Danio rerio: one gene and its partners. Each later gene encodes a partner of the first gene's protein in a complex. Links are inferred from orthologs where the notes say so. Each region holds a gene or a part of one and is shown on either strand. Other genes may lie near its edges.

The links.
Region 2: rnf113a (region 1) and rbmx2 share a complex: the UniProt entries of both Homo sapiens proteins name them as parts of the minor spliceosome. The link is inferred for Danio rerio from reciprocal best matches to the Homo sapiens genes RNF113A and RBMX2.
Region 3: rnf113a (region 1) and eftud2 share a complex: the UniProt entries of both Homo sapiens proteins name them as parts of the minor spliceosome. The link is inferred for Danio rerio from reciprocal best matches to the Homo sapiens genes RNF113A and EFTUD2.

What each region holds. Positions count from the first base shown.
Region 1 is NC_133178.1:30,712,647-30,716,228, forward strand, and holds the start of rnf113a (E3 ubiquitin-protein ligase RNF113A), read right to left. Parts: upstream 2,801-3,582; 5' UTR 2,799-2,800; coding exon 2,693-2,798; intron 2,549-2,692; coding exon 2,472-2,548; intron 2,388-2,471; coding exon 2,289-2,387; intron 2,094-2,288; coding exon 1,986-2,093; intron 1,151-1,985; coding exon 1,041-1,150; intron 1-1,040. UniProt on the Homo sapiens protein: Required for pre-mRNA splicing as component of the spliceosome. As a component of the minor spliceosome, involved in the splicing of U12-type introns in pre-mRNAs. E3 ubiquitin-protein ligase that catalyzes the transfer of ubiquitin onto target proteins.
Region 2 is NC_133196.1:41,940,892-41,948,382, reverse strand, and holds the start of rbmx2 (RNA-binding motif protein, X-linked 2), read right to left. Parts: upstream 4,163-7,491; 5' UTR 4,116-4,162; coding exon 4,111-4,115; intron 2,710-4,110; coding exon 2,594-2,709; intron 1,333-2,593; coding exon 1,281-1,332; intron 1,181-1,280; coding exon 1,051-1,180; intron 1-1,050. UniProt on the Homo sapiens protein: Involved in pre-mRNA splicing as component of the activated spliceosome. As a component of the minor spliceosome, involved in the splicing of U12-type introns in pre-mRNAs.
Region 3 is NC_133178.1:15,082,657-15,090,147, forward strand, and holds the start of eftud2 (116 kDa U5 small nuclear ribonucleoprotein component), read right to left. Parts: upstream 4,165-7,491; 5' UTR 3,885-4,164; intron 3,857-3,884; exon of another isoform or gene 3,805-3,856; intron 1,814-3,804; 5' UTR 1,803-1,813; coding exon 1,701-1,802; intron 208-1,700; coding exon 36-207; intron 1-35. UniProt on the Homo sapiens protein: Required for pre-mRNA splicing as component of the spliceosome, including pre-catalytic, catalytic and post-catalytic spliceosomal complexes. Component of the U5 snRNP and the U4/U6-U5 tri-snRNP complex, a building block of the spliceosome.

The DNA of each region.
Region 1 (3,582 bases):
TGTTTGATTTTCGGAACACAAATAAAGATATTTTACATGAAATCTGAGAGCACCCTCATCCTCCATAGACAAGAGACGTTCAAAGTCCAGAAAAGGATCCAAAAACAATCCATGTGACTTTCAAGGTTTCCTGCGGTTTGGAAAAGTCAGGGTTTTAAAACCGCTAACATTTTCTGTTACACTGTGGTATATGTACATTGTTTAAACATGTTTTTTACAACATGTTTTTTTATTTTATTTAGTTTTTTTAGGGCAACAGCTACTGGTCAGCCCATGGTTTAGGGAACATCTGAAAAACAAAATGCTTAAGCACCAAAACATCCAGGCATGCTCTGGACCTGAACAGTGCTGTGGCTTACTTTATATCCAAAGAAGAGAAAGATGAATGTCTTTTTCATTTTTTTTTAAAGAAATATGTGTTTTCGAAACTATTGACTTCTGCTGTCTTCAATAAATTCTTTAGCCTGTCATGTTTACTGTTCCAAAATATGCTTCTTAAAATAAAATATATTGTGTTCAATGGGAACAATAATAGTTTTTTTTTTACCCAGACATTTTAAAAGAATATTTTTGAGCAGTAATCACAATACTGTGAAACTCTGATATTTTTATCCAAGGTTATCATACCGTCAGAATCTTATACCGGCCCATGCCTAGTAAACGCGCACCCTGACCTGTCATGTATACAAAAAATAAAGTATTCTTTCATGTATTTACAGTTTTTTACAAGTGTTTTGGGAGCTCTACATGATTACACATCAGAACACTAAAGTCCCATGCAATGTTTTTGGTTTCTGGACTTTTGAACATCTTTGAAATCTCACTGTCCATGGAGGATGAGAGAGATGTCAGATTTAATCTAAAACATTTTCATTTGTGTTCAGAAGATAAACAAAGGCCTCTTAAATACAGCCGCCAATCCAAGCACCAATCACAATCTGCCGTAATCCGCTGCACCTGGAAATAATTCAGACCGAGAGAGTGCAGGAAAGAGGGAGAGGAAACAAGAGAAAGAAAAACTCGTAACAACACTGACTCACCTGACCATGCCAGAGGAGGCATTGCCCATAGTGGAATCTTTGGGTTTAATGAATTTGTGATAGTTGTTGATCCCACGATAAATCTTATCATCTTCTTTACCAGTCAGCTCCTATAAATTACACACAAACACGCAGCCATATGATTAAGAGATTGTGTATATTCTGGCCATCTTAACAATATCAACAATCAAATATCATGACATGAAATGACCCCGCTCCTTAGATGCTGGTTTATTCTTCTGCATTGAGCGCAGACTTTGAGCAATCGCATACTCCTCGCCGTGGCTGACGCGCACCTCTCAAAAAATGTCACTACTTGACGATACGTAGCGCAAGCTCTGCGGTTGGTCAGCTTGATAGTGATGACAAGAGTGGGCAGCGCGGAGAGCAACGAAAAAAAGAAGACTGTTGGTTTTAGGCAATGTGTGTTTTCATTTCAGTTGTTCAACGCTGATGTTCAATAAATAATCATAGATAGTAGATAGTTTGCGTTTCCTTCAATTATTTTAAAATCAAGTAATGCACCCTTTTCAAACATCTCTCACTTTACGAAACCTGTCAGTTAACTATGAGGGCAAAAACAAATGAAATAATCAATCATTAGTTGTAATCGGGTTAAAATGTTTAGTTAATCAAGATTTAGATTTGAGGCCAAATCGCCCAGGCCTATTATAAAGGCTATTTATTTTCTAAAATGAATTGATTCTGCTGTGCTTGAAAGCACTGAGTGAGGTATCTAAATAACTGAACTGACATGACATGACACGCTACTATATCACCTTCTGTAGAGCTGTTGTCTACTTGAAATATGTGTAAATACAATTGAAAATGCTGAGTTTAATGTTATCTAAATCTAGAACTGTAAAGGTACTTTGAATCTGTACATAACATACATAAACCTGACTTTACAATGATGCAGCCAGTTATTTCCAATCACCCGCATACCTCTTGGATTTTCTGACTGCGCTCAAAGATGGCCTGAGCATCTTTGTCCCTCTCTGTGTCCAGCTCATAGACAGCAGTGGCCCCCATGTCATCCGGCCCCTCTGGTTTCTGCAACACATAGTCAAATACACTCAATTACAGCCTTTAATGTTTCAATGAGACAGCGCAAAAACTGTCAGACGTTAATAGAAATGTAAAGTCATACGTGGTCATGAATTATTAGGCACCATCAAGCGTTTATATTCATAATTTGCTGTAGCATAAATCATGAAGCTGTACAAATGTTGGGTCAGTCAGACTCACCGCTGAGCGAGTGGACTTGTAAGCGACAGTCACGCTCTTTTCTTCCTTCTCTTCTTCACTTTCACTCGATGAGACAGCTTCCCTCTCCACTTTCTTCGTCTATAAAACGAATAATAAATATAATAATGATGACATCAGTTTAACAGCGGCTAGTTACATAAAACACATGAAATACGGACATACTTTCTGAATCATGGGGTTCACAGCGGCAGATTTCTTCTTTCTGACCACTGCACTGCCCTCATCGCCGCTGCTTTTTTCTGATGATAAAGAAACAAAACACTGAACTGCAGACATGTATTGAGCATAAACATTAATTAAACAGACGGCTTGTTGTAGGGATTATAGTTTCTCAAGTCAAACTCGCTGTCGATTGAGACACTGAAGAAAGAAGCACAACGTACCTTTGTCGCTGTCACTTGCATTTCTTTTCCGTGCGGAAAATTTCTTGTTTGATTTCTTAAAAATAAATGTGCAGGTGGGTTTTTTCGGCTCCTCGGACTCCGCCATCTTTAACTACGTATAAAAACAAACGATGAAGTCATTTTTTGGTTACAGCGCCTCTTGTGTTTGGGAAGAAACGTAGAATGGGAATGGTTTACTGCTGTTGTATTTGATATGAATATATTCCCATTTAACAATTGATAATGTACATATCTTTACTATTATTATTAATCAGTAACTAGCAATATTCAGACAATATTTGGATGCATGCATTGAGCAAAATTAAGGATAAAGACGTTTTAAGGTATTTTATGGTGTACTTAAAGTAAAATTATGATTTAGAGTGAATTTTTTCCCATTATAAAGGTAAAGTCTAGTTAGGATACTGTGGATACGTACATCAACATAGCATAAGTTTTGTGACACTGTATAACAATAAATAATATTTTACAGTACAAATTCCACACTGGCCACGCCCCTATCGTGAATGTACCACTAGACGTAAATGTGTCGTGAAACACCGCAGCGGTTTACGGCCTCGCGCCATTTTAAGAAAGGAACGACTCGTTCAACTGGGTGAGAACACACGTTGGGTATTGTGTGGACCGAAATACACACAAAAATACCGAGTGAATTAAAGAAATTCATGCACGAAGGTCTTCCACAGAAACACGCAAGAGGATTTTGGCCCGAAAATCGGAGATTTCGTTGGAGCCGAATGAAAAACTGAGGTAATTGACTGCAGGAGGCCGTCCGTGGAAATGTAGGCGATCTCGGATATGATCATCATGAGAGAGTTGGTGAATTAGCAGAGCTGACCGTAACCACGACTGAGCTTTGCTTTATTTTT
Region 2 (7,491 bases), on another chromosome or scaffold:
TAGTATTTATTATATGCATATTTAAATTTGTTTTACTAAAAACAAGCTTAGATTTGTTCACCTGTCAGGTTTTAGACCATATTGGGCACAGCATGTGTATTTGGATATAACTCAGTTTTTTGACCACACTTTATTATTACTGTTCATTTATTCGTTTGCTGGAAATTAGAATTGAATTTAGAAGTAGTTTTGAAACAACTCTTTGTGCTTAACAAACAAAATTAATTATGTATAGGGCAATGGAAATCTGTGCGTACAACATTTTTCCCTATCCATGAGAGTGAAAGAGAAAGTAAACAATGAGGAGGCTCATCTCTCATTCTGGCGCTGTAGATGCTCTGTTTAACTGTTTTCTTTCTAGTGAAGCCTTCAGTTTTTCCACTTACAAAGTCCGCCATTAGGGGTGATTTTAGGATTTTCATTTTAGGGGGGCTTACCTCCTTATATGGTGAAAAAAAAATCTATTATAAATATAAATATTATAAATATAATATAAAGCCTAATATTACATTCATAAGTAGTAATTTAATAGTGTCTAATATGGGTTGTATACTAGTATTCCATAGACAGGCATAGCCATTTGAGTTCTGAATAAGGCAAATAGGCTCAACCCACCTGTTCACTGTAGTAAAAAGCACTTTCTATAGTCAAGTGCATTTTTTGTTTCCAGGTATTAAATAAATAAACTGCCACTTTTTTATTGAACTGACACACACACACACACACACATGTGTATATATATGTGTGTGTGTGTGTGTGTGTGTGTGTGTGTGTGTATATATGTATATGTGAAAAGTTTAGATGCAAAAAGCCATTTGATATTTTCTTCTAAAATGAGTGATAAAATAGTGACGAATAAGTTATTTTCATTGACTTTGAAGTTAAATATATGAACATAAACATAGGAAGCTGAGATAAATGCTCATTTTAGGAGAACGTTTCAGATGGCACTTAGAGGTTTTTGCATCTGAACTCTTCTGCATCTGAATAAAATACAATTCAGGTTGAAAAAGACCACATCACTAAAAAGACACTAGAAAAGCGTTTCACCTTGATTCCGTTAAAGTTATCGACAGCCAGAATAGTGCTCCTCTGATCTTCATAGCACAGGAAACAGAATCCTTTGGATTTGCCAGTCTTTTTATCTCGAACCAAGTTGATGTTGGCAATCTCTCCATACCTGACATTCACAGAGGAGGATTAAGCTTTACTAGCAAAGAAAATAAATACTGACGTCTTTAGCACAAAAAGACATGTTTAAAATGAACACTCTGGCTTACTGAGAGAAAACACAGATGATGTCTCCTTCTGTCAGCTCATATGGAAATCCACCTGCAGATTGATATTAATATACATATTTACATTACTTAAAATAAATACACACACACACACGCACGCACACGCACGCACACATATATATATATATACATATTTATATAAATATATATATACACAAACACACACACACACACACACACACACACACACACACACACACACATACATACATACATACATACATACATACATACATACAAGTCAAAATTTTTAGACATCCTGAATTAATAGCTGTACATTTTCCCCCCCAATTTCTGTTTAATGGAAAGATTTTTCAACACATTTCGAAACATAGTTTTAATAACTCATTTCTAATAACTGATTTCTTTTATCTTTGTCATGACGGCAGTACATAATATTTTACTAGATATTTTTCAGGATACTAGCATTCACCTTAAAGAGCAAATTAAAGACTTAACTAGGGTAATTAGATCAACTAGGCCAGTTAGGGTTTTAAGGCAAATCATTGTATAAAAAAGATTTGTTCTGTAGACCATCGAAAAAAAATATTGCTTAAGGGGGCTAATAATATTGCCCCTTAAATGGTTTTAAAAAATAATTTAAAACTGCTTTTATTCTAGAAAAGATTAAAGACATCAAAGTTTCTCCAGAAGAAAATAGTCAGAAATACTGTGAAAAGTGTATTTCTCTGTTAAACATCATTTGGAAAATGTTTGAAAAAGAAAAAAACACACATTCACAGGAGGGCGAATAATTCTGACTTCATGGTTTGAATTGCAATGTTCTGTCTAGTAAATGAATGCAACATAAAAAATACAACAATAAATGTAAATCACTTTGAAATTGTACAAGGTCAGATCACTGTGTACCAGTGTGGGTTTCTGGAGGACTAAAATCATGCCATTGTCTACAAAAACACACATTTAGTTAAACAGATGAATGCTGCCACCATCTGGCAGAATGTAAATATAGTCCATCCAGACAGCATCTTAGCTTCCATAACAGGCATGCCCAAAACTCAGTCCTGGAGGGCCGGTGTCCTGCAGAGTTTAGCTCCAACTTGCTTCAACACACTTGCCTAAAAGTTTCTAGTATGCTATTTAAAGCTTGATTAGCTTGTTCAGTCAAGTTTAACTAGGGTTGGAGCTTAATTCTCCAGGACTCCGGCCCTCCAGGACCGAGTTTGGGCACCACTGGTCTATAATAATGATTGCCGAAGTGCTGTGACAGATTGATCTATCTTTTGGTCCACAGCCATAATGTAACTATGTAATAATGTTCATCATTTCCTCACCGATGAAGACCCAGGCGCTGTTTTTATAGACTGAATGCCAGGACACAGTCTCTTTGATGCCCAGCTGAGCTTCTCTTTCATTCAGTTCATTGATCAGCTTCACTTTGGTCAGTGGACTACATTTAATGAAGAAAAAAAAAAAACAGAAAAAAAGACAGATAATGAATATATGTTTGCTTGTTCATTCATTTTGTGGGCCACAATATGTCATTTTGTTTATTATTCTGTTATGGTGACTAAACCAAAATATGAGAAAATGCAGTATATTCAGGATTAGGGCTGCACAATATATTGCTTTAACATCGATATCGCAATGTACAAATATGCAATAGTCACACTGCAGCATCCGCAGTGTTGAGTTGTGATTACAATGACCAGGAATTACATTTCAGAACATAATTTTTGGAGTCATCGCAAATTTGAATCCTAACAGAGTGAAAGATTTTCATTTGGATGCGTTTTAAGGAACTGTGACAAGTGAAAGTAAACCAAGAAATTTTAGTTTTATAGTTTAGAGATTTAACAAAGAATAAAATTGTTTCTAGTTACTACAATTAATACAATATAATGTTATTTGATTAATGTTAGTTTAATATTCTTAGACTCCACAGAAAACCATAAAACACAAAACAAACAAACACATTCTACTGCATTTATCTATGCTTACAAATTGTTTATAATGTTTCATGCAAATATTTGAATTGTTTACACAGAGTTATTTAGGTAATCTTTTGTGAAATCATATTTATATCGCAATGTATATTGCAGAAAACTAAAAACCGCAATGTCATTTTTTTTACCCAATGTCGTGAACCCCTATTCAAGATTCATTATGACTTTGACACTTTTTACAGCCTAAAATCTTTAAAAATTAAAGATGTCAACACAATAAACATTGATGTATATGGTTTTGTTATGCAAGTCAATAGTTTTGTCCCACTGATAACATTTCTTCTATATTCAACATACAATGTAAACTGATAATTGGTCACAAAAGATTATCGTTTTCGTAAAGGAATCATACATGTTTATATTCATTTTTAGACAACACAATACCAATGTTTTAAATAACGACGAGTTAAGAAATCTGAATTTAGTAGACAAAAATTGACTTTATATCACAACAAAGTAAAATGATTATTATTCTGACCAGTTGTAAGCTTATGAAAAAAGATATACTTTAATGAGTTGATAAAACTAAAAATGATTTCTCAATAACAAGTAAATAACAATTGAACAACGTTCCACGACAAAACATTTCTATTATAAAAAATATTTTAATTATATTATTATTCCAGTAAAACACATGTAACTGAATGTTAATGTTTAATGTAACAGTTTTCGTTTATATTTATGCTAGCTTTAGCTGTTGCTGCAAACCAGAGGCTTCTGGCTGTATCGACATTTCATTCCATGACTGAATAGTCTAATTAAATTCTCAAACGTACAAGAAACACGGTATAACAAATGTATTGAAAATATTTTAATCAAACGCAAACATTTAACTCATCACTTACTTCATTTTGGTGAATCGAAGTCACTCCGGAAATAGTTTCTTTTTCGCAGTCCACACGTGGTGCCATTGTCTTCCGGTTTAGACAAAAGGATTGTGGGATGTGTATTTGACTGACTGTCCATACGGCGTTTTTGTAGTAAAACCATGCTAATTGCAAAGTAGCTAAATTATTTCGCTAAATCATTAAAACAGTGGTAAATAATAAAAAAAATGAACAAAAAACAAATAAACAAACAAACAAACGAACGAATCATGCTTACAACACTGCTAAAAATTAATAGTTTCTGTCAGTTTGATTGAATTATAGCCTACATTTTCCTCAGTTTAGAGGCTTAAATGGTTGAATTAGCAAAAATTTCAGCAATATTTACTGCATTTTTGTTATTTTGTACCTTAAACAGGCTCTAAAGGAAACAAAGAGAAAACTAGATGTGATGATTAACTTAATGTCTTCATAAAAATAGGCTATAGCATCATATTTGACAGAAATGATTTATCAAAATAAACAATTCTTTGTTGAAAAGCTTTATTAGAAATATCATGGAAAATTCTAACATTTATCAAACCAATCAACCAAGATGTTTAATCAATAGGGTTTTTCAGCCAAAGATAAACATCCGGTGAAAGCTTAATGTGACTATTTTCAGTTTCATAAGGTTCCTTTCACAGCATCGATGTTGTAATGTAATAACACTTTCAGTTAAATAGACTTAAGCATTCATTCAGTTGTTCAAGAGTAACAAGATAAAAGACCGTGTACAGATAGCGCCGTCAAGATCAGCAGGCTGCAGAAACTTCATACCAGAAAATACTGGGGTAAACATGTTGGGGGAAATGTCATTTAAATCAGTGATTCTTGTCCGGTCTGAAACCCACATATCGAATATCTAACACGCAGTAAAGATCACTAATTTTCAAAGAAATCAGACCTTAAATGTGGCAATTTTATAACAGAAAGACACTGAAAGCCCTGGGGCTGCCTTACTAAAATTAAAAGTCAGTGTACATATACCCCATCAGCACAGCAGGCCTCTGATTTAATTTAATTGCACACAACAATTTAACTTACAGAGCTTTCATCATAAAATTAGCCCCAAAATGTTATCTTACTAATAAAGACAGATTATTTTGAGGTATAATGACATGTGACTCTTATGTAAGCAATATACTATTGTGAAATATTGATTTCCCTTTGTGGCCATATAAAATAACACAAATGTTCCAAACTAGGATTTACACTGCATAATTTATTTTCTAGGATTTTTTTTTTGGCATGTTTCTAGTCCAAATATCAAAAAATTACTCTTATATCAAGAAGCATTTTCTAGGTAAGCAAAACATATTGTCTTGTTTTGAGAAATAATATGCCAATATTAAGTGATTTTTTCCTTAAAACAAGCTAAATAATCTGCCGATGGGGTGAGCAAAATAATCTTGTTTCTCCTTTTGACATAAGATTTTTTTTTACCCCATTGGCAGACTATTTTGCTTGGGACTTGTTCTTTTTATAGAAGTTAGGGTTAATTACAAGTAAAGTTTGACAAAAAATTGGGTTTCTCTTGTTGATGTACATTAAGCTTTTTTCATGCTAAGCATTTTAGAATGTCCCCTCATCGATAATTGTAAAATCTTAAAGGCAACAGTGATATGCAAAATGTCTGTCTTCTTTCCTGTCTTTTAATAACTGCTAGTTCAAGAATAAGCAAAATAATGTTACCTTGTTGTTGTTGTTTATGAAAAAAACTTGATTGCCAACCTTTCTCTGTTTGAGTTTAACAAAAGTTAATCCCATAATTTGCTCAGGAGTCATGGGGTGTAGAAAACAGGCTGATCGAGTAGTTTCTTTTTGAAGTAAGTAGTTTCTTTTTTCAAGTAATTGTTTAGCATTAATCTCCTAGGACTTAGTGGCCACATACGTGGACAGTACATTTTAGCCCTTAAGTGGCTATTTAAAATACTTTGAATGTTTTATATTTTGTCACAGACAGTGTCATCCTGCAACTGTTTTGCAGCATATGAAATGTCCCAAACACTATTTTTAACTGTCCAAAATGGGGAAAAAATGTATATGTTATATATGCATTAAAAACATTCAGGAAAAAGTGTTTTTTGTAAATTCAGACCACGAGTCCACATATATGGACATCATTTTTATCTAAAAGTACACCATATCAAAAGATAATAATTATGTTCCTATATGCCAAAATAGCAAAGAGAAATAAAAAATGCATGTAAAAAAAACACCTTGGGCCTTGAAAGGTTTATTATTGGTATGTAATTGCATTTCTCATACTTTAAAAGGGCTTACTGAGCTTGCATATGAAGCATATACTTTAATGGCACTGCAATGGCAGATAACATATATAACAATATTATAAGAAATAACTTAAAAATGACATTGTTTTACTGTTTGGCATAAATATTTCAAGGACCCTTAGATACACATTTTTTTCTGTCAGTAATATTAAAAATGAAAAAAAAAAAAAATCATAATTTTGGCCAACGCATGCTTATCTACATCTAATTTTGGTGGCACAGTGGCCAGTTAGCATTTTTGTGTGGAGATTGCATGTTCTCTTGTTGGCGGGGGTTTCCTCCAGGTGCTCTGGTTTCTCCCACAGTCCAAAGACATGGGCTACAGGTGAATTTGATTACCATTGGCTGTAGTGTATGAGTGTGTGTGTGTGTGTGTGTGTGTGTGTGTGTGTGTGTGTGTGTGTGTGTGTGTGTGTGTGTGTGAATGTGAGTGTGTGGGGGTGTTTCCCTGATTTGTGGTTGGAAAGGCATCAGCTGCATGAAACATATTGCAGATTAGTTGTTGGTTCAATCTGCTGTGGTCACCTCTGATAAATCAGACTAAGCCCAAGGAAAATGAATGAATGAATATTTAGGTTTAAATGAATGCATCCATCTTGATAAAACCCATGTTATATAAAATTGTATATTTTATTTGTACTATATTGTTTATAATTATTACTGCACAGAATCAGTTTCAGAATGAACCGAAGTGAACAAGTGGACAATAAGGATGAATAATCTCACTGACCAATCACTCAAATTCATTCATTCATTTTCTTGTCGGCTTAGTCCCTTTATTAATCCGGGGTAGCCACAGCGGAATGAACCACCAACTTATCCAGCAAGTTTTTACGCAGTGGATGCCCTTCCAGCCGCAACCCATCTCTGGGAAACATCCACACACAAATTCACACACACACTCATACACTACAGACAATTAAGCCTACCCAATTCACCTGTACCGCATGTCTTTGGACTGTGGGGGAAACCGGAGCACTCGAAGGAAACCCACGCGAAGGCAGGGAGAACATGCAAACTCCACACAGAAACGCCAACTGAGCCGAGGTTCGAACCAGCGACCCAG
Region 3 (7,491 bases), about 16 Mb from region 1:
TAAACAAACTGTTCTTCCACCAGCGTGTCTGTTACCTGTCAGCGGCTGTGTATCTTCTTCTTGAACAATAGTTTCCACCTCAGGACCATACACTTCTTCAGCAGTGGGATAATACTTTTTATCCTCATGCAGAACCACCTCCATACCACCACCTCCTCCATCCTCATCAGCCTCAGCCTGGTCATCATCGTCATCCTCCTCATCCGCCTGTTTTAAGAAAATGTACATCAAATTCAAGGAGCTGATTTTTGCATAAAAACAACCACTGACTCTACACGCTTCAGCTGAACAATTTAAAGGGGGCCTATTATGCTCATTTTTACTAGATGTAAAATAAGTCTCTGACATATAGCACCATAGTGCTCAGGGCGACCCGAGTTCGATTCCCGGCTTGAGGTCCTATGCCCATACTTCCCCTCTCTCTGCTCCCAGTGCTCCCCTCCCCCCAAAACATAGAAAAAAAACGTAATAATTATAAAAAAAAATATTCCACAAATAACGCTTCATAACTTTTTGAAATGACCCCTTTTAGGCTTTGATCCTAATTGTGTAATTAGGCTTTATGTGTAACTGCTCTTCTGGGGTCTCATTGATGAACATGGCATATGCACAAAATGGGCAGAAATATGCGTTAGCCACTCAAAGGTTGTGATCTATAAGCTTGAGAGGAGAGTGTCCACAGCTGTAATTAATCTCTAAGCAAACATATTTAATTTAAATATTGATTTAAACCACTTTAAATGAGCTAATCATCAATAAATAAATTACTTTATTCTGATGTATGTTCCTTACTAAGAACTTGTCTATGCAAATTTGATAAATCAGAGCCCTGGCGATTTGACCTGCTACTTTTGTCCTCATTTAAATGAGTTCTGTATATTAATATACGTATAATTTAGGAATATGGTATATTAACCCTTTAACTGCTCCACCAAGAAAAAAATACTATGGATAGCATTTCTTAACTCATAATGTCACTAGTCAACACATCCAATGAATTTTTTTTCAACATGCGACAAAATATCAACCATTTGGTAGAGGTTGATGTGTCCGTTTATGGAAAAATTACCGGAATTAATACATATCCAATGAAAAATCTGAAAATATGAAGTGTAAGACATATTTATTTAAAAAAAATATTCAAAATAAATTGTTTTTGAATACTATATCATCTTTATTTTTTGAAGTATGCCAAAAAATATTTCAGATTCTCATTTAACATGTTTTCTTATATATATATATATATATATATATATATATATATATATATATATATATGTATGTATGCATGTATGTATGTATGTATGTATGTATGTATGTATGTATATATATATGTATATATATATATATATATATATATATATATATATATATATATAGATATGTATGTATATATGTGTGTGTGTGTGTGTGTATATATATATCAATAAAACCAAAATTGAGTGTAGTAACAAAACAGGATTACATTTGTTTGATTATTTTATAAACCAACAATGCTGTGTCGTGTAAACCATTATTAAAACAGTCATTCTTAAAATGACTTTAAAAGTCATTATTTAAAAGTCAAAAGCTGGTCAACGATTTGAGCAGGCAATTAAGGGTTAATGTAATAGGGTTAATGAAACTGCACTTAAATGGCACAAATGCTCCAACTAGCAACGGTTTGGCAGTTTGAATATGATTACAGGTTATACAATCACCTCATCAGCATCCCGGTCCTCTGCATCTAGCTCTTCATCCTCATCAGAGTCCAGCTCTGGTCCGATATAATTTCCAAACTCGTCATAAAGATCAGTCTCCATGGCGACGAGCTCTGATAGGACAAAACAGATACAAATGACATAACTTACTTTGGTGCAGAGGAACTATTCGGAATGCAGATCAACTCATTTAAAATGCAGCAGTGGTTCATTATTCTGTCTGTTTTATTTTCTAGTGTTGGGAAAAACGTTACTGTAACACTTTTAGTATTACTGCACAAAATGCTGATTGAGGTAAAATTGGTTTAAATTCTTAGCGTTTCTGTAAAATTTGCTTAAATGCCTAACAAAATGCATACCCAAAGTAAATTGCATGCTATTTTTAACCATTTTTAGTATTGGTCTTTGTCAGGTGACAAATTCGATTGTAAAATTATTGATTGTTAAAATATTTAAAAATCACAAATGTTACAACTAACTTTAGCTGACTAACTCACCCCTTGTAAAAAAAGTTTATTTGTGGGTGTCTTTCTAAAAACAAATAAAGGTTTTTGTTTAAAACATTGCAGGATTTTTCTATATTTAGAGTATTTATTTGATGTTAAATGTTTTAAAACCCCGGATTTGGCATGGGCTGGTATAAGATTCTGATACTATGATAATCTTGGATATAAATATCACGGTTTTAGGTATTGCGATTACTGCTCTGAAATATATTCCTTTTAAATGTCTGGGTAAAAAAATAAAAACGTTTTCCCCTTTGTACACAATATATTTTATTTGGGAAACATTCATAATATTTTGGAGCAGTAAACATGTCAGGCTAAATAATTCAAATGAATTATTGACTTCTGCTTCCTTCATTTGTTTCAAAAATACAGATTTGTAAAAAATTTAAAACGCAATCTTTGAATATCTTTTCTGCTGTCCTAAAAAAAAACTAAGAAAAAAGTAAATTAAAAAATCTTACTCATACCCTAGGAACAATATAGCAGAAAATTGACGGTTTTAAAACCTTGACTTTTCTAAACCGCGGTATAGCTTAAAAAATGGTTATCGTCTCATGCCTACTCCAGACTGCAGCTTAATGAAACCGTATTTTTAAAAATCTGTTTTTTTTATTTTATACGAAAAAGGGATAAATACATTAGAAGTCAATTTTATTCTATGAGGTAACTATGCATTGTTTTGGTCTCTTTTGAAAGGTGACACACTAAGGTTTATTCCCTAATAGTCCGAATCACTGTAAATGTTTTTGAATAATTAAACTTAATTAAACTCTGCTTAAAACTTTTATCTTAATATTCGAACATTCAGACTTTTTTCTTAATAATATAATTTCAGTAAAGTATTCTTTACAAATTCTAAATAAGAAATTCATATTAGCTACCGATGACTATCAAAGTACAACATTGCTCACAGTCAAAGTCTTCACAGTTTTGAATTCATACTTGGAAGCAATTTCAGACTGAATATTAAAAGTAACATTGAGGTAAAGTTGGTTTTCTATTCACACATTCTCATTGATAATATCATCTCAGAAAAGTATTCTTTGCAAATTATAAACGGGGTAATCATATTAGCAGCCAGTGACTATGAAAGTACAACATTGTTCAGTCAATCAAACAGTGCTAATGTTGTTTTGAAGTCATACTTGTATGTGATTTCAAACCAAATATTGAAAGTAGCCTTGTAAACAATATAAGAAACATGTCACAAGTTGTCACTGAATGAATGTGCTAATATAACCAAGTTTACCTTAATTTGCATCCAACCAATGTGCTAGTTAGTTTTGCGTTTTGGATAGAAACTGGTAACGTTAAATTAATACCTTCTCTATATTGTACTTTGAATATTCAGCCTGAAATAGAAAGTAAGTTTAACTTCAAAACAGCGTTAGCACAATTTAATTCTATTAACTCTGTGAACAATGTTGTACTTTGAAAGTCTATGGCTGCTAATATGAGTTCACTACTTGCAGAGAATCATATCTTTTTAAATTATAGCTATTATTAAAGGGAAAGTCCGAATATAAAACCAACTTTACCTCAATGTAAACACCAAAGGGAACGTGACACAAGTTGTCAATGAGCAAAAACTTTACCTCAATAAAATGCTGTAGTGTCGAACATGTATCTTTAAGAGCCCAATAAACACAGCAAACATTAAAGTGAATAAAATTACCTCATAACATACTGAAAATCGCAATAAATATAAAAGATTCCCTTGTGAAACTGCCTCAAGTAAAGCCGATATTGCAACTGATCGCGCAGCAAACGTACGACAGCGAATGAATGAATAATTGCTTCGTGTAAATAATTATTTCCGTCGTAAATATAGTGCGTATTATAACAGTGTTATACCTGTGTGCGAGTCTTGTTTTTAATCCCGGTGTGATTTTATTGTTACAAAATGATCCCTCGTACTGTTTCAAACCATGCACCGCGAGGTCCTCGCACAGCTCAACGTAGGTCGTACGTTGGTGACGTCATCAGCGTTCGCCAAGCATATTGCCTGTTTGAAAAAAAAAAAACAGGCTACTAATACATGTCGCAGTCAGCCAAGATTTACTAAAAAAAATGTTTTTTTAAGTTTTCATATATTTAAAAATCAATTTTAAAATTTTGACCACTATTTTTTAATGTTGGAGTAAAAACAAAAACGTAAATAAACATTGAGTGACTCCATAGATATCTTATTATATATATATACACACACATATGGAGTGTATTATATATGTATGGAATATATATCTATGAAGTGGCTCAAATAGATATTGGCTTCAAACACTTAAGGGTAATCTTAAGTATGATTTACAGCTTTAATTATTATACAAAAAACTTTTTTTGTTTTTCAGTACAAAAAGTATCTAGATCTGAATTTATCTTGACAAACTATAGCTACATACATAGGCTACTACCATGTATCATTTTCAAGTATGTACTCAAAAAGTAGGGTGACTGACAGACTTATAAGACTTAAAATTTGCAAATGTAGCCTACTAATAGACAACCAAACTCTGTTATAGCTAATATAAGCTCTCTGAATAAAAAAATCTAAATCAAAACAAAACCAGTTAAACATTTTTAATTCTAGTTTTTTTTATAGCTAGACAATTTCTTCCAACAATAAGGTGCATATCTGTAGGCTGAAAATGGTCATAAAATGAAGTGAACACTATTAAAAACAAAACATTGTTTGACAAGGAATGGATGGGAAAAGAGATTTGTCAGTATCCCAATTAATTGACAGCAATAAAGGTATTACTTCATATGAAAATGTTTGTACTAAATATAATTTCTAATTCAGTAAAGTTTAAATCTTTAAAGCCATTTCTATCTCATTTGTCTGTCTAATTAAGGAAATACTTTCTTACTCTACCCTTATAACCCCAACTGTGCCTCCTGTGTTAATTGAAGTCTGTGATTTCAAAGAAAGAAATCTATGTAACAACATTTTATATCCATTTTATAGGATATAAAATGTTGTTACCAATCATTGGTTTTTACATAGATTTCTTTCTTTGAAATCACAGACTTCAGTTAACACACGAGGCACAGTTGGGGTTACAAGAGTAGAGTAAGAAAGTATTTCCTTATTTAGACATAATTAAGGAAAAAATAATAATTATAAAAAAAACTCAACTTCACATAAATTATCTAAAAAGATACCATTCACGTACTTAAAATTAAATATTTAAATATTTAAAGTTTCCTCTGTCTCCAATAACTAAAAAAGTTCATTTTAAAGTTTTAAGTGGGATGAATCTGTCAAGTAAATATTTAGGAATTAGATTTGGATTTGAGTCTAATAAATGTGTGTTTTGTGATGATATTGAAACAACAGATCATTTGTTTTTTCACTGTATGTTTGTGGATGCATTATGGATGCTTCAGATTCCACACCTCAGGATCTTTAAGGGATTTTATATATGAAAGAATCTCATTATAAAAAGCACAAAACATTAGTTTCACCTTCAAATATTTTGATTTATGTATGAAAAATTTTCCAGGCATAAGGATGTTGTTGATTAGGAAGGCGTCTTCCTTACTGTCCATTACAAGTCCGTAAATGACAATTGATATCGATTACATTAAGATAATGTTACATGTGATTGTTTTATTTTTGTTTCTATATTGCAGTTTTTTTTCTCTGTTTCCTGATTTCTTTTGTTTGCAGATTGGTGCCACCTGATTCCAATCTGCGTAGCTAATTTCTATTACAATAAGCTGAGCTATATTGACTGGCTGCAGCCACCAAGAAGGCAAAGAGGGGAGATAACATGTCTCACTTGAGCTGCGCCAGTCCCAGATACAAGGTGCTTGTGACTCGTGTGCCACTTTTTAAATTTGTTTTATTTTTATTATTTTTTTATATATAGTTGAAGTCAGAATTATTAGCCTCCCTGAATTATTCGCCCCTCTGTTTATTTTTCCCCAATTTCTGTTTAACAGAGAGATTTTTTTTCAACACATTTCTAAACATAATAGCTTTAATAACTACACTGTAAAAAATTGCTGTTAAAAAACGGTCAGATTCTACGGTAAAATAATGTTTTTTCACTAAAACAGTAATATTCTGTTAAAAACAATGCTTTCTGGGTAACATTTTTGTTTTCGAGAAAGTAACCAACTGCAGAAAACTGTGAGCTAACAGAGTTCAGATTCGATGTTTTAAAGTCTGTGTTTGAAATCACACTTTGTGTCCTTGTTCACTATTTCATACACTAGTTAACTAATATAGTTCACCTGACAGTTTTAATGAACACTAATGAGTGAATTCAGACACTGATGAACACCTGCTGTTAATAATTACAATTACTGAAGAAAATAAACAAGAAACACAAACAGTGACTTGAGTTACAACATTAAATAAAATCAAATAAAATAAAACAGCTTCAGTCTCAGCAGAGGATCATTAAACAACTCCACAAACAACAGCAGACACACACTTATTACTGACTGATTTGACTTCCATACTATTCACATTGAGATCCAACAGAAATTAAGGTGTTTTTTGTGTCACCGTAATGGAGTGAGGGGCTGGTTTAGTTGGGCTCTTCACCCTTGAACTGATTAATTCAGACTCTCCAATCACTATAATAAAGAGTTAACAAAATGCTTGTATTATAGCAGTCAAGTTGGAAAGTCAATAAATAGAGAAATATATTTGTCTTAAATTAGTTCTGATAAATGTTTTGGTATAAATCTGGAAGAAGGGCTTCATGCAATAGATTTTATGTTTAGTTGCAGGTATTAATTAAATTAATGAGAAGTGAAAACAGAAAGATACCTCAGTAATTACTTAACAGTTAAGAAATAACATACAAATACAATTCAGTTATGACAAATACACACTCAGACCTCATGGATCTGACCTTGTATCTCAACAATGGTAACATCTCAAATGTTTCATGCTGCAATGCATGCTGGGAGTGGCACGGTACAAATATCCCAGCATGCATTGCGGTATAAAAAAATGTTGTATAGTGGTCTAAGAGTTTTCTTTACTTGTGTTTGATTCTGCTGTTGTTTATGTTTAGACTTTCAGTTGCCTGTTTGTGAGTTAAACTGTTAATTTTGTTAGTCGTCACCATTATTGAGGTTCATCCGCTGATTATTGATGTCTCTTTGAGTGCGATATACAACATAGAGCAGTGTTATTGTCCAAGATATTCTTAAAAACTTCCAGAAATCGTTGCCATATATATACATAATGTGAAACAATAGATTTAACATTGAATGGGAACAGTAAATTTTATTATACTAAATGAGAACAGACTCTGCCATTT